Linked DNA regions of Arabidopsis thaliana. The protein of the gene in region 2 interacts with the protein of the main gene of each other region in a pairwise test. Each region holds a gene or a part of one and is shown on either strand. Other genes may lie near its edges.

Region 1 (7,232 bases), on a different chromosome or scaffold from region 2:
TTCCCTGCTCAAAGAACAAAACATTTTACCCTTTTTGCACACAATCTGAGAATTAGACAAGAAGTTTTTTTTTGTTACCTTATAAACAGGTCCAAAACCACCTTGTCCAAGTTTGTTCCCAGCAGAGAATCCACTTGTAGCTTCTGAGACCGTGTCAAGATCAAGAAATGGTAATTCAAGATCTTCTTCCTCTTGTTTCCTGCTTGAAACACGGGATGATTCGCGCTGCAAAGTTTCTGAATAAAACAACGGGTTTAATAAACTTATAGAGCACAATAGAAAAACAAGAGATACTTAATTTCTGAGAGCTATTCAACTACAATGATCATTTACCTTTTGTTGCAAGTTTCTTTTTTTTCATGTTGAAGACAGTCAAACCAATGCAAAGACAAAAAAGAAACAGAGCAGTAGATAATACTATTATGAGTATCATCCTTATCTTTCCCTTCACGTAATGGATATTGTACTCATCTGTGATCGAAACGGAACAAAAAAGAATATTCAAGATTTATAAATCATTCTATAGTAAAACAATGTTTATTGTTTCACAAGTCTTAAACCTTACCTATCTCAGAAGAAGCAAGCCTCACATACAGATCTTGTCCGTTTTCATTATACTCTCTTATATCAATCAAATCTCCGAACCAGAGAATACATCCTTTTCCGCCATCTCTAATGTCGAAAGGCGAATAAGCCGAGCATGTACAGTTTCTCAAGCATACCTTTTTGCATTCATTCAAATCCATGTTCTTATCATACCACGATGTTCTTGTATCTGGTAACTTCAACTTTGAAATCTTCAGAAAGCCGTCCTCTCCTTTACCACAATCCAGTTTCACTCTCCTAACACACCCTTCGGACCAATCCCCTGCAACCCAAGCCTGTGGAGTTTTAGCAACAAACCCTTTTAAACACCTACAAGCGGGAGATTCATTGATGTTGCAGCTTCCGTAAGAGCCACACAACGTGTATTGATCACAACTATCCATCATAGCCGATAAATAGAAGTTCCAACTTTGAAGGTTATCGACCCAAGTGTAACGTTGCAAAGCTCCATTCGGATTCAGCTGCATTCTTGTCAGCACTGAAGGGTTTTCAAGCTTGTAAGTGTAGTAAACTTCTTCCTCCGTGAAGACATACTCATACCGATAGATAGGGTTAGGTTTTAGGTTTGGCATACCGGTGAATCTTAGACCGTTCCATGGACCAGTCCTGAAGACAACAACCGAGTTTTTCTTCAGGAAAAACTGCGGAACACCGTTTGGATCCATTTTATTCGTGTAGTTACCAGTTGATGGATCGTCTATTGCTCTCCAAGATGTCAAGAACCGGTTTAAACCGGTTACAAAATTAAGACCATATTTCATTCCTGGAAGAAACATATCTCCTGGGTAATCTAAACTCTGCCATATGTAATCCTGATCATCCCCTGAGTTTCTCACAACTAAATTACCTGTATCAAGAATCTGAACAATTGGGTTTCTTAGGCTGGCTTTCTGGGAAGATGGTGAGGATGATGATGACCAGATGATGTGATTCCGGTCATTGAAGAGGCATAAGCTCCCATTTTCAGATACTTTTAGGGTTCCTGAGAGATCGTAGAGAGGAGAGTCTCTGTTAGCAACCCAAACAACGGTCTGGAGAGAGATTTTCTTGTACCAAATTCCGAGATAACGATTTCTTGATCCTCCTGGAGAGAAAAAACCAACCTCGAAGCTCCCACCTTGCGAAACAATGGTGTCTCCATCTTTTAGAGTCTGGTTTGCTATGAGGATATCAGTTGCTTGTGCCAAAAGAATCGTCGAAAACAGAGAGATGATAAGCAGATGAAGCACATTAGTGGCTTCCATGGCCGGTTCTGTGGAACCAGAGAGCGTGGAAACGAAGTTGGTATATAAACAATGATGATAGTCAGTTATTTTATTTGTTTAATTACTGGAAATATAGAGAAAATTGTTTAAGTTAGGTTCCATGGAATATAGTTTAATATGTGTAAATGAGAGAGACATGGAAGAGAATTGTAATGAGTTGCTGTCCAGTATCTTGCGTCGTGATATTATTTGCTCTTAATGTCAACCACAACGTGCCTAGAGATTATATATTTGTAGTTTTATACGTGTTTTATAGGACAAATGGTGGAATGATTCAATGGAGATGCAAAGTTACTTGTCAATTGGAACTAAATAATGCAATTTAACTAAGATATAAAGAAAACATCAAACAAAGTTTAGTGGGGAGCTTCTCAATCTAAAGAAAGTAAGCTCAGAAAGACAGAAACCATTGAATATTCAAAACAAAAAAACAATCCACAGCTTAGCATTTTGTTGACCGACTCATATAAAACTAAAATGTTGCGACGGGCTTTCTCGACCAGACTTAGTTAAAATCCGCCACGATCAGTGTTGCTGATTCAGCATGTGGGCCGGCCCATGGTTATCTGTTAGTAAAGCTTCCACGTAATCTAAGAAAACAAAAAATGAGCCGCATGGATTAAGAAGATAATGTACACTTTCAAATATATGATGAATTATTTTCAATTTTGTGACAATAAAATAGGTTATTATCAATTCTGAGACAGTTTAAATGTTACGATACCTTTTATCTGTATCTTAGATAAACATGATTCAACAGATTTAATATTTCAATAGCAAATTTTATTTATGAGAGGTTTTAATAAGAGCACAATGGTTTGTCAGCATTAAGAAGACAAGCTCATTAAGAGGCAAGAGTAAGACCAAAGATATCATTAGCCAGGAATCATGATTTAATGTTCGTTCTTTGAACTTGACTCTTTTTTTTTTTTTAATGCATTGAATAAGCATTATTGAACTGCGATTTTCGGTTAAATAGTACATGAATCATGAAATAATGACAATGGTTATCCAATAAGCAAGATTTTGGTTTGATTATATATAAATTAAAATAGAGACATGCAATTAGAGAACGGGCAGACCAAGTAGTAGAATATTATGTCGCTGCATTTAGTTTTGCTGACGATGTCTTTGAATAAGGGACACCAACATTTGATTTAATCAAATACCATGCATAGAAATGTCACATACCAAGTTATAGTAAATGTTAGTCAAACCTTTGATATTTCGTTTGTTTGAAGTTGCAACTTGCATGCAAGTCATAACTCGAAAGTCTTTTTTTTTTGTTTTTTTGGGCACAACTAAGTCGAAAGTCTAGAAAACTGAATGTCATGGATAAGTTGATGCATTCCACAGCTATTTAATTTTTCAAAACTAACTGAGATAAAAACATATTTTTGAAGCAAGTTATAACAAAACTTAAACTAATTACACATTTCGTGAACTTTGACAAAAGTAATTTGTAGTAGTAAATATCATTAAACATACCCATCTCCAAAAATCGAAATAGTAACTACAATCTATACTAAAAAAAACTGTGTGATCAGGCAAAACCAGTATTTGAATAATTCCAGAGTAATTTTAAGTCGAGCCGACCTTAATCTTTAAAGAAAAAGAAAGAAACATATTTTCGATAATCAATCAAATAAACAAACTCAAGTCACTTGCCGATGAAAGTGGTGGAAATTTCCCATAAATAAACAAAGGAACAAACAAACAACTCCTCCATTTCCATTACTTTACTCTTTCTATTTCTTAATATAAACGGACGATTTTACCCTCCATCTCTCGCCGTTTTCACACTATGAGCTTTCCACATCCCTTTACGAAGTGACGATATTACCCCTAAAAGCGACCTTCCTCGAAGAAACCACATACCAACAATCTGAGAGATTAATCGCAATTTCCCAGACACGGGACCTTCCCTCATTAATCTTAGCTGGCTTCCATGGATGTTCCTTCTCAGAAATCCCAATTTCTCTTCCTTTATATTCTCATTCACTCCTCATTCTCCTCCTCAAATCAATAACAACGATAAAAAAACAAACCTTCCTTAACCAGAACCAAATTTCAGATTTTTAAACAACATAAGCTCTAATGGCGTCACCAAAGTCACCCACAAGACCAACCCAACAAAACCCACAACCCAATTTCCACGATTTTCTTCCTACCATGGCCGGAAACCTAGGCGGTGAAGGTCTGATCGGAGAGCTATGCAACGGCTTCGAGCTTTTGATGGACAGAGAGAAAGGTGTCATCACGTTCGAGAGTCTCCGACGTAACGCTGCGGCGGTTCTGGGTTTAGGAGATTTGACTGATGAAGATGTCCGGTGTATGATTAAAGAAGGTGATTTTGACTGCGACGGTGCGTTGAATCAGATGGAGTTTTGTGTGTTGATGTTTAGGCTTAGCCCTGATTTGATGGAAGCGTCGCGGTGTCTCGTCACGGAGGTCATTGAGGAGGAGTTTGGCTTCACGCGCCGGCATTGACACTGGAGAGATTTGGGATCCCTTCCTCTTTTATTTAATTCGATTCATTTGTTACCTTTTTCTTAATTTTTCCATTAATGTTACCATTCACATAATTCTTTTAATCATAGTACTTGATACTATTTTTACACTTCAGTTTATATCTTTGATCAGATGTGTTGAACATATATAAAATAAAGAAAAAAATTCATAAACTAGACTGGTGATGACTGTATCACAATATCGATTTGTAGCACACACAAAAAAATCATCATCCTTAAGCACTATCAATGATGTGTTGATTATAATGCTTAATCTTTCCATGAATAAAAGGAGATATGTTAATTAGGAGCTATCTAGTCAAGCTTTTACAATTAAGGTGGTTTACTGGATCAAAAATAAGTTAAGGGGCAGAAATATAAATTAATAAGTTTTGGGTCGTTGACTAAAAATTCTCGAAGAGCTAGCTATAACAACAATTTGGAGCTAGATTTTCTGCGAAAACAAAAATCAGAAAAGCTTTCAGAGGATCGAGCGCACTTCTTCAATGGCGACCAAAGTTTACATAGTGTATGTGAAAATTATCTTCTGTCGTAATGTTTTCTTTCTCTGCTCGAACACTTATTGCAAATGCGCGATCATCGATCGATCTCACTGATTGAAAAATCAGCTTTGATTAACTCAAATGACTCGATTTCATTGTCGCTGATCTCAAAGTCGCAGTGTTGTATACTTGTTCACTGTGAATCGATGATTTTCGCTGTGGTTTAATATAATTGTCATTTGTAATTAGAATCATGGATTTGTGTTGCTTTGCCTTAATTTTGTGATGGGTTTGGATTTTAATGTGGAGATGCAGTGAGTGGTGCCATTGACAATTTGGTGAGTGTAATAGGTACTACTCAATGTATGGTCATGTGGAGAAATTAGCTCAAGAGATTAGGAAAGGTGCTGCTTCTGTTGATGGTGTTGAAGCCATACTCTGGCAGGTCAGTGCTTGGTTTACTGCTCTTTATTGAGCTTTCTTACTCATTGTCAATTTTCATCAGCACATCTGATTCTAGGATACAATGAGAGACAGTTTCAAGTGACTAGATTTCTTTGAAAATTTAGGTGTTGAAGTTAAAAACTTGTTCTTGTATCTGAAAGATAGGGAATTACATTTCTAGAGTTTTCTGTTTTACTGGAATATCTTTTAGCTGCCACCATTCTTATGCTATTTTAGTGATTCAACACTACTGACGGATGATGACTACTTATTATAGGCTAGAACTTTTGGAACCAATGAGAGACATTTATCTTAACCTGCATTGTCTTTTCGGCGTATCCTATTGTCTTATCTGCGTTGAACAATGTGTGCTTCACTGAGTTTATTTTGCTAAGACGAATGTTTGTTTGACTCTCTACTCCCTGAAAGAAAGAAGAAATACGCTCTTAATTTTGATTTACTATACATTGTAGCTGCCAACATTCTTGACAGTATTCGATGTCTCGAGCTCCTTTATTTTGACTAGTCACTACAAGTTATTTCCTTTGTGTTCAGAACCAAAACAAAACTATAGTATCCTATTGGCATATTTTACCATAACCTCTACTTTTAATGTATATAGTGTTGCTTTCCCTTAGTTTATTTACACAAAAGGGCATGTTCCTTTATTCTGCATCTATTTTCTGCCGTCAGTGTTTCTGATCATAAGTTACCTGTAAAGAATCATTGGAAGAAGTATTGAGCTAGCGTTTGTTCTTGACAGGTACCCGAAACGCTCCAAGAAGATGTGCTCTCTAAAATGAGTGCACCACCAAAGAGTGATGCTCCTATTATCACCCCAAACGAGCTCGCTGAGGCTGATGGATTTATCTTCGGCTTCCCAACGAGGTTTGGTATGATGGCTGCTCAGTTCAAGGCATTTTTAGATGCGACCGGCGGCCTTTGGAGGACTCAGCAACTCGCCGGTAAACCAGCCGGAATCTTCTACAGCACAGGGTCCCAAGGTGGTGGTCAAGAAACCACCGCGTAAGTTTCTTTTCACAATCCAAACAGCATTCATCAAAGTGACCACTTGCTATATTGTTGACAAAACGGATTTATGTGTAGATTAACTGCCATTACTCAGCTGGTTCATCACGGGATGATCTTTGTCCCGATTGGCTACACATTTGGTGCCGGAATGTTTGAGATGGAAAATGTGAAAGGTGGAAGCCCGTACGGGGCGGGAACATTTGCCGGAGATGGGTCGAGACAGCCAACGGAACTGGAGTTGGGGCAAGCATTTCACCAAGGGAAGTACATTGCCGCCATAAGTAAGAAGCTCAAGGGACCTGCTGCTGCTTAGAGCTCTCTCAATAAGATAATATTTTGATTCTTTGTTGGCATTTTGTGATTTTTTTTGCTTTGGAATTATGCAACACTGATTGAGTTACTTCAGCTCACAGCAATAACATAACTTTGCCTTGGTTTGTAAGTTGTAACTGTCCCACTTCTGACTTGGGTTAAAGAGAAACTCACATAGTCACATGTACTAACATTGTTGCCCACTAAACTCTTTCGACGGTAGTTTAAAGTGGCCCACTAAGGCCCATCACTTGAAAAGTTAGCCCAATAAATTCATTTATCCGAGTTGAAATATCCAGAACTGGACTAAATCGGACCGGCTTCAAAGAAGTATCACAGAAAAAATTTACTGAAGAACTAAACTATCCGTTTAAAAGTTTACACTATGAGAATCTGAATTTCACAGAAAAAAAATCAGTGATAACAAAAAGAAATTGTATATATTTCACTTATAACGCCTGTTTTAATTTAACCATTATGCCTTTAACTATCCAAACTCCAGAGGAATAAACAACTTTAGCTATTACATTATTACTAGACTAAAAGATTAAATTGAATTT
Region 2 (7,853 bases):
TAACGGGAAAGGATGGTTGCTCTGCGATTTCTGTAAAGGACAGAAAACAAATGTGAAATCTGAGAATAATCGAATCTATCGACGATGTCCAACTTGTAAAGCTGTGAGTTTTCGTAAATTTCGATTAGGTTAAACTGTTGCTAAGTAATGTATCTGTGAAACTTTGGATTGGTTATCTAAATCTGGGAACTTGAATGATGTGATTATAGGTGGGATTTGTGTTGTGTAGAAAATGTAAAGTGTTCAAGTGTGTCACATTTCCTAACTCAGAAGACGGCGATGAACTTTTGTTCTAAGAGCTCCTTGTTCTAGCAACACTCTTCTTCTCCAACTAAGGACACCATTTGAGTTTTCAGGTTCCTTTCTTTTTCCAATTGTTATATATATATATTGTCTTTACTCATATGTAGCCATATGTATATGCACATTGTAACATTAATCAGACTAGTGAATAGTGATTGCATTGGCTTCTTTACTGATCTCTATGTTCATGTGTGAAGCTTTCCTGATTGTATATTGTTATATGTATTGTCTTTATTCATATGTGTAATAAGCACATTGTAACATTAATCAGACTAGTCATTGCATTGGCTTCTTTCTAACCTTTCCTGGTTGATTTTTGTCTGTAATGTGTCTCATTCTCATGTAGATATTTAAATCTATTTCATTGATTATTCTTAAAAAATGGGATTTCCTTGTCGTTTAACGTATAACCTCGACACCCATCTTTAGAGCAGAAAACTATTGAGTCAATGTCGTACACTCCCAACTGTTTTTATGATTCCAAGGCATATGGTTTGTTCTTGTTAATCTTCTGCTGGATCATGCTGTCTTTAAGTTTATAGAAACCTGCAATTCATTATTCTCGATATAAGGTTCAGGAGATAAGTGCACATGTATTAGGCGATTCGTTCTAGATGGTGTTAAATCTCAAGGTACAGATGTCATGTGGTGTTTTCCGTTTTATCAGATCTCTATGTTTTCTGTTTTGACTTTTGACTCTCATTAATCATTTTGGCAGAGAACTAACATGTAATGTGATTTTATGAACATCTTACTCTTCCTTTCTTGAATCCTGTTTGGTTTAGGGGATTGTAAAGTCAGTCCTTTTGATATTGCCGTACTCTTTTGAGATGAACGTATATGCATGTGATCACAATAATGTAGCTAGTTAGTTTATGTAAGAATTTTTCTGTGACTCTGCTATTAGCTTATTATATTACTAAGCATCCGTATTTTAGCTTTAGTTTTTGTAAGAGAAGCTTAGGATACCGTACTTTTGCCTTTGAATAGTTTAAAAACAACATTCCACTTGGTGATTAAAAGTACCATTCCGTAATTATTGTTATCCTTACATTATCATATTATTTTAAACCTCTGATTACTTTAACATAACTCTGCAACTTCCATTCACATGGTTGTTCCGGAAAGAACGCAAACTGCCCAAATAGAAACATGAACCATTCTTTCTATTCTTTTTTTGTTCTCTCTCTCTCTCTTCTTATTTCTTAATAGGCGTAGCATTTTGGCTTATTATGAGCTTGATTTCTGCTTAGAGTTAAACGACAAAGTGCAAATGTTTAATTCGTATGACTCATTATACCTCTAGTTGCATAAGGGTCTATCTGCTGAGGTTATAGATCAACTTCTATAGTATTCCAAACTAATAAAATCTTCGGTTACCATAAATTATCTTGCCTACGTGATATGTTTCTACTGACTTGTGCTGCAAATGCAGACGACTGGATTACAAAGGATCTATGAAAATTTGTGTAAAAGTTCAGATAGTGTTTTTGCTTGATTCACTTATTCAGTATTTGATTTTTTATTGTACCACGAGTCTACTGCATTTGTCATCAGGAATAGATGGTTAGATCAATGGGCTGGTGGGTTCTTGTGAGAAATTCCACCAGAGCAGAGAAATATCAAAGAGCCGTTTTAAGTTTTCATCAGTCAGAGGTAGTGCAACAAAAATTGAAATCAGTGCAGAGAAAGAATAAAGAGTCTCCAGGAACAGAGGTCCACATCACGGTTTCAATGATCTGTTTGTACATTCCACTATTTAGAAATCTCTCCCCTTACTCAGAATTAAGAAATTTTAAAGCACACAAATCCATATTCCTAGAGAAAAAGTGGGAATAAGCAGAATGGCTCAAATTAGCACAAGAGGAGGAAAAAGAAGATGCAGAAGCAAGCAATGAACAAAACTATCTGCACATTGGGCTGTTGTGAGGTTGGTGTGAAGGAGTCTTAGGACAGTCTGATGGATGCTGGTAACTCGTCTTATCATCTGCTGCTGCATTGAACTTACATTCCTGCTTAGCTGTTATTGGCGTCACCAGGTACCCTTCGTTCTTCTCCTCCATTATCTTCAATATGCTCTCAAAAACAGAAACTTCACAAGGAATCCTCAAGACACCGGCTTGTTGAAACCCGAACTCTTCTTCTGCCTCACGCAGAAGAACATAGAAAGCTTGATGGCTGAGGTACTCGGTTGGTATTGTGTACCTCTTCTTCTCTAACCCGACCGAAACAGCTAGATACCCTTTAGGCACAGCTGTTACATCTGTAAATGACAGTGTCCTCTTCAGAAACTTGATGCTCTTGCTTCCCCCGCCACTGCTATTGTTGTCTTCGTTGTTGTTGTTGGCTGCTTTTGATGCAATTGCTTGTTTTCGCCATTTCTTGAGAAGCTGTTGAAGCTTAACGATCTCTCTGATCTTGTTTGACTTCTTGGCTTCCATGGTGGAGATAGAAGACAAAAGACAAGAAGTTTGGTACTATGTTTTGTCTAGCGTCTGTCTCTTTCTATGTGTGTAGTGATTAGGACGTGGTGAATATTGAGAATCGGGGATATATAGAGGTGGTGACCACGGAATTCTGATTTAATTAGTTTTGTTTCTGCTTAAAATATTGTGCTAATCATATGCTTTGGTTTTTTTTAATGATTTAAACCAACTTGAATTTGTTGACAAGCAAAATTAAGCAGCTTGAACTTAGAAAATGATATTTAACATAACCTCAAATTTTGTCACCAAAATCAGACAGGCAAAGCTGGCTCAAGCATCGCTTAAATCCCTGTAAAACGCAACTATGTAATTAATATTGAGATATACTTGTTGCTTTCTGACTCTGATTTCATTCACTCGGCAGCATTCTCGTGCTCTCGGCTGCTGTTGCCAAATCTTATGGTATCTTTCTCAAAAAGCTCATAGTACCGTTGTGTCTCCATCAGACTTTCATTGATGTAAGTCTTATAGGTACTACTAAGATCCATAATATGTAAGGCCTCACTTGCTTCTTTCCCATCATACCATATGGCTCTTTCTCTTTTTCCACCTCCCGGTACTGAATAACAGCATGTTGCTTGCTACAAAATGTGTGATTAGTAGGAATGTCGGATCTTTCTCTCACGTCCAAAGAGGTAGCAAATTTGGTAATGAATGCAAAGTGTCTCTTTCAGTGGTTCACCATCCTTAAAATGATAAAGTCTCCATCTTTCTTTGGGTTTTCTATTATCTACGGGATTATTGAAGAGGAGTGTGATACCTTTGTATATGTTGGTTTCTTCAGCAAGTTTCCTCGATAGCTCAAAACATCGCACACCATGTTTTTCAATCATCAAACATGAATGAAGTAGCAGCTATCGAGATTCTCTCTCTCGTCCGGTACTTAGCCAACACCCTTCCTCCGAATCTCTGAATGTCAGATTGATGTCTCCTGGCACTTGGAGGATAATCTAAGCAGACATGGATGGGTCCTAATCGATCAAGATAGTATCTTCCATATAGGTCTCAAGAGTTTGAGAAGATGTCTTTCACCGTTTCATGCGGAAGTTGACTCCTTACTTTAAGCAATTGAATGCATGATCGTAATTAGTGATATATTTGGAGTTTTCGCTTCCGGTTACTCTGATATGATATCTTTCCTCGACAACTATAACGAATGACCAATATTTGTAATAGAGATAGTCTATTTTCGATCTCTCATTTGTTTCTTTCTTTTTTTAACATTACATTTTTTCATAGAATTCTAATACTCACAGATTGTTTAATGATTTTTTCTTACAAAAAGTATCATTCAGATAATTTAATAAAAATGGTATCGCAGTGCCTTTATTTACCTTTAGGAGTAAGTTTTCTTTCTTCCGATATCCTAAATTGTTCGACACGTGTCAATCACGAAACCACAACCAAAAAACCTTGTCGTCTTCTCCAATCATAAAAAAAAAAAAAAAACAGTGTCCCAATTTGATCAAACAAAACAAATTCATAAATTCGGAGAAGAGAACGAAAAATCTTCTTGTTGGCAAATCTCCGGCGAGATCATCTTTCTTATTTTGTTCCACGGAAGTTTCAGACATGGCGGCCGCGAAACTCGTGGCGTTGTTACTTCTTCTCGCCTTGGTTTTCAATTTCACCACTTGTATCTTTGCCGACGCTGGAATCGACGGCGGCGATGAACCGAAACTTAGATCCGACGGCGGTGATATCGAATTGGATCAGCTTAATGCTAAAATCCGTGCCCTAGGTTACACTCAGAACTTTACAGTTACTTCAATTTTACTTCTATGTCAATCGTGAAAATTTGCTATGGCTTGTGTGAATTTCTCAAATTAATTTTTGTTTTCTTCTTTTTTGGTTGGTGAAGAATCTCAGATTGATGATAAAACCAAGGAACTTAAAGGCAGAGAAGAGTTAGTAACAGAGAAGGAGAAACTTCTTCAAGAGAGACAAGACAAAGTTGCTTCTTTGGAGACTGAGGTTTCTTCACTAAGGGTATGCATGCATCTTTTAGTGTCTCACTGAAATTGCTTCCATGTTCAGATATAGATTGCCTTTATATATCAATCTTTGTTTCCAGAAAAAAGGTTCATCAGATTCTGTGGAACTGTTGAGTAAAGCTCAAGCACGAGCTACTGAATTAGAGAAGCAGGTGAGTTCATTATTTGAGAACCCATCTTTTATATGCACGTAAGTTTCTAAATTCTACATTATACTTGTGAATTCAGGTTGAGGTACTTAAGAAATTTCTGGAGCAGAAAAACAAGGAGAAAGAATTGATAGAAGCTCAGACTAGTGAAACCGAGAAGAAGCTAAACGAATTGAACTCGAGAGTGGAGAAAGTATGTTCATTATACATCTCTTGGTTCATTTTCTCTTGACACACATTATTATTCATTTCAAATCATTTAAATAGAAAGTAGAAAGTATGTTCATTATGCAAATTTTCACAATCTATTCCTGCAGCTTCACAAGACAAATGAAGAGCAGAAGAACAAAATACGAAAACTTGAGCGTGCTCTTAAAATTTCTGAGGTATGACGACGCTCTTGGATTAAGTTTAGTTCCCCCTTAACTTTCGGTTTCTGCAATCACTCTCGACTCTTATCAAAATAAAATTATAGGAAGAAATGTTGCGGACAAAGCATGAAGCCACCACAAAGGCTAAGGAACTGATGGAGGTTCATGGGGCGTGGCTTCCCCCTTGGTTTGCTGTACACTGGAGTAGTTTTCAGGTGAGATTAATAGATTTTATCTTTTACGACTTTCTTGCATCATAGATTTTCTCAATTAACTTGGACACTTCCTGGACTCAGACTGTTGCTGGGACACACTGGGACGCCCACGGCAAACCAGTTATGGAGAAAGTTACTCAAAAGGTATTGTTAAATCCAAATTGTATGTTGATTACATGACTCTGAGAGCAAACTTATGCCTAACTAAGTTTGATCATCTTTTAGGTGACGTTAGCAAAAAATCAAGCTGAAAAATGGGCTAAACCGCACATGGCTAATGTTAAAACTGTAAGTAACTTACAGGCAATGTGTGTTATTACTCAGGAGGCTCTTATGGTTATGCTTACGAAATTCTATTTCCAGAAATATATTCCAGCCATAAAAGAGACTGTTAAAACGCATGTTGAGCCACACGTTCAAACACTATCTACCAAAGCGAAAGAGGCTTACCATGCTTCCAAGAGTGCGGTTACACCACATATTGTCAAGTTTCAAGAACATGTAGATCCCTATTACCAGGTGAAGTATATTTTTTTCTATCTAGATATTAATCTTTCAGCTCCATCGATGATGACAATATGCGCTTAATTTGTTTTGTTTATGCTCTCCAGGAGGCTAAAAAGTTTAGCAAGCCGTACGTTGATCAAGTGGCCACAGCCACAAAACCACATGTTGATAAGGTGAGAGCTACCATGAAGCCTTACACAACGAAGACTGTCCACTATTACAAAGAGTTCCTGGAATCTGCCTCAACTTATCACCACCAGGTTAGAATCGGAGGCACTGTGTATAATTTATAGGCATTATAGTTATGAGTAGTGTCATTTCTAGAGGAATGTGTTGTCTTTTAATCTGATAACTCTGTATATATGTGAAGCTTCAAGCCAATGTCGAAAGTAAACTGAAGAGCCATGAGCTGTTGGAACCTTTTGCCACCAAAGAGTTCATTTGGTTTGCAGTATGTTCTCTCGTCTTGCACTCTAAGACAACATGCTTTTTTGTTGCTTCCTTTATCAGCTTAAAATTGATAAACTGTTCACTGTAGGCCTCTGCTTTGTTGGCCTTACCCATCTTCATAGTGTACAAATTCCTCTGTTCGCTCTTCTGGCAAGTTTCTTATAACGAATCATTATTTATAAGATTTAAATTAGTTTTCAGTATATTGCTCTGTAGTTCTTAAAGATGCTCCATCCTTGATTCCACCAAATGACCTTTCGTTTGTTTGTTGTATGTTTATTGCAGCACAAAGACGAAGAAGCCTATCCGACAGTCTCATCAACATACTCGCCGTAAGGCCAGAAGGGGTCATTCTGACAAATGAAGTCACATGCTTTGTGTTGTTATCACTTCCTCGTGCTATAAATATTAGAGGTACATCTCACTTTCTGCTTAAATACACGTTGCAGAACGGGTCACGAACAAAGAATTTGAGGTTACTGGATAGATAGATAGGCCAAGCCAGAACTTACTTTCCATAGAAATGAGTCTGTCTGATGTTGATATGTGATTAATATGCCAGTTTCCGAATCCTCAATGCATTGTCTTTTTGTCGGATGCAAAACGCTTTCATATTGTGTAGAAGCTATTAGCGACTAGTGACTGAGGTTAAAACTTTGGACTGATATGTGTCTAATGTTTCTTGATCTTTATCTACATTCTTGCAGGTAAAGACGGGTTTTGATGCGTTCTCTGTGAGCCTCACCTACAGTCTATATGTTTCCTTCGTTGCGTATGAAAGAAACAGCTTATGTTAGAGGTATCTTATGGGTTTTTTTTTAATCTCGCTGTGCAAAAGTGTTCTTCACTCTCTCTGTTTTTGAGATGCCTTTTGAATATAAAGTTTTCAGTCTTTTATACAGAGAAGATTGACATCTAGAGGAAATCTACTAAGGGCTTGGTTTGTGTATTTTGTGATTCATGTGGATAAATTTGGTACTTGTGCCATTACTCTTTAAAAGCAATCACTCTTTGTCTTTTATCTTTTTGAAAACTTTTTCTCAAAAATCGAAACCAAATTGGGAATTGTTACAGCTTTTATTTTATTTGTAACTAAAAATCATAGAGCCAGACCATAATTGGTTTGACTAGTCTTTGATTCTTAATATTTTCCTAGAACAGGTAAACAAATGCAATAGAAAGAACAACCAAAAACGTTTTACCAACAAGTAAATGGAAACAATATAAAAACCATAACTTAAACTGACAATTACCAATCAATAAGATGGCCAGTATCCATCCAAGTCCATGCACTGGCTCATCTCCACATTTCCAAACCCGTTTTCGCCATTGTACGAAGCACTAACCGCGGCAACATCCTCAAGAGACACAACAGGAG

The links. Proteins that work in one complex are often made in the same cells at the same time.
Region 1: the proteins of AT2G24400 (region 2) and AT4G27280 interact in a two-hybrid assay, tested with the Arabidopsis thaliana proteins (one large-scale study listed by BioGRID).

What each region holds. Positions count from the first base shown.
Region 1 is NC_003075.7:13,660,899-13,668,130, reverse strand, and holds AT4G27280 (Calcium-binding EF-hand family protein), read left to right. Parts: upstream 1-3,509; 5' UTR 3,510-3,968; coding exon 3,969-4,361; 3' UTR 4,362-4,716; downstream 4,717-7,232. Other genes in the region: AT4G27290 (S-locus lectin protein kinase family protein), read right to left, coding at 1-4, 79-236, 334-471, 566-1,850; AT4G27270 (Quinone reductase family protein), read left to right, coding at 4,888-4,910, 5,236-5,329, 6,092-6,354, 6,436-6,673. UniProt on the Arabidopsis thaliana protein: Potential calcium sensor that binds calcium in vitro.
Region 2 is NC_003071.7:10,375,786-10,383,638, forward strand, and holds AT2G24400 (SAUR-like auxin-responsive protein family), read right to left. Parts: upstream 2,861-7,853; 5' UTR 2,745-2,860; coding exon 2,208-2,744; 3' UTR 1,171-2,207; downstream 1-1,170. Other genes in the region: AT2G24395 (chaperone protein dnaJ-like protein), read left to right, coding at 1-103, 210-296; AT2G24410 (SMAD/FHA domain protein), read right to left, coding at 3,386-3,622; AT2G24420 (DNA repair ATPase-like protein), read left to right, coding at 4,362-4,530, 4,651-4,778, 4,864-4,935, 5,012-5,125, 5,250-5,318, 5,408-5,518, 5,600-5,662, 5,744-5,806 and 5 more; NAC038 (NAC domain containing protein 38), read right to left, coding at 7,732-7,853.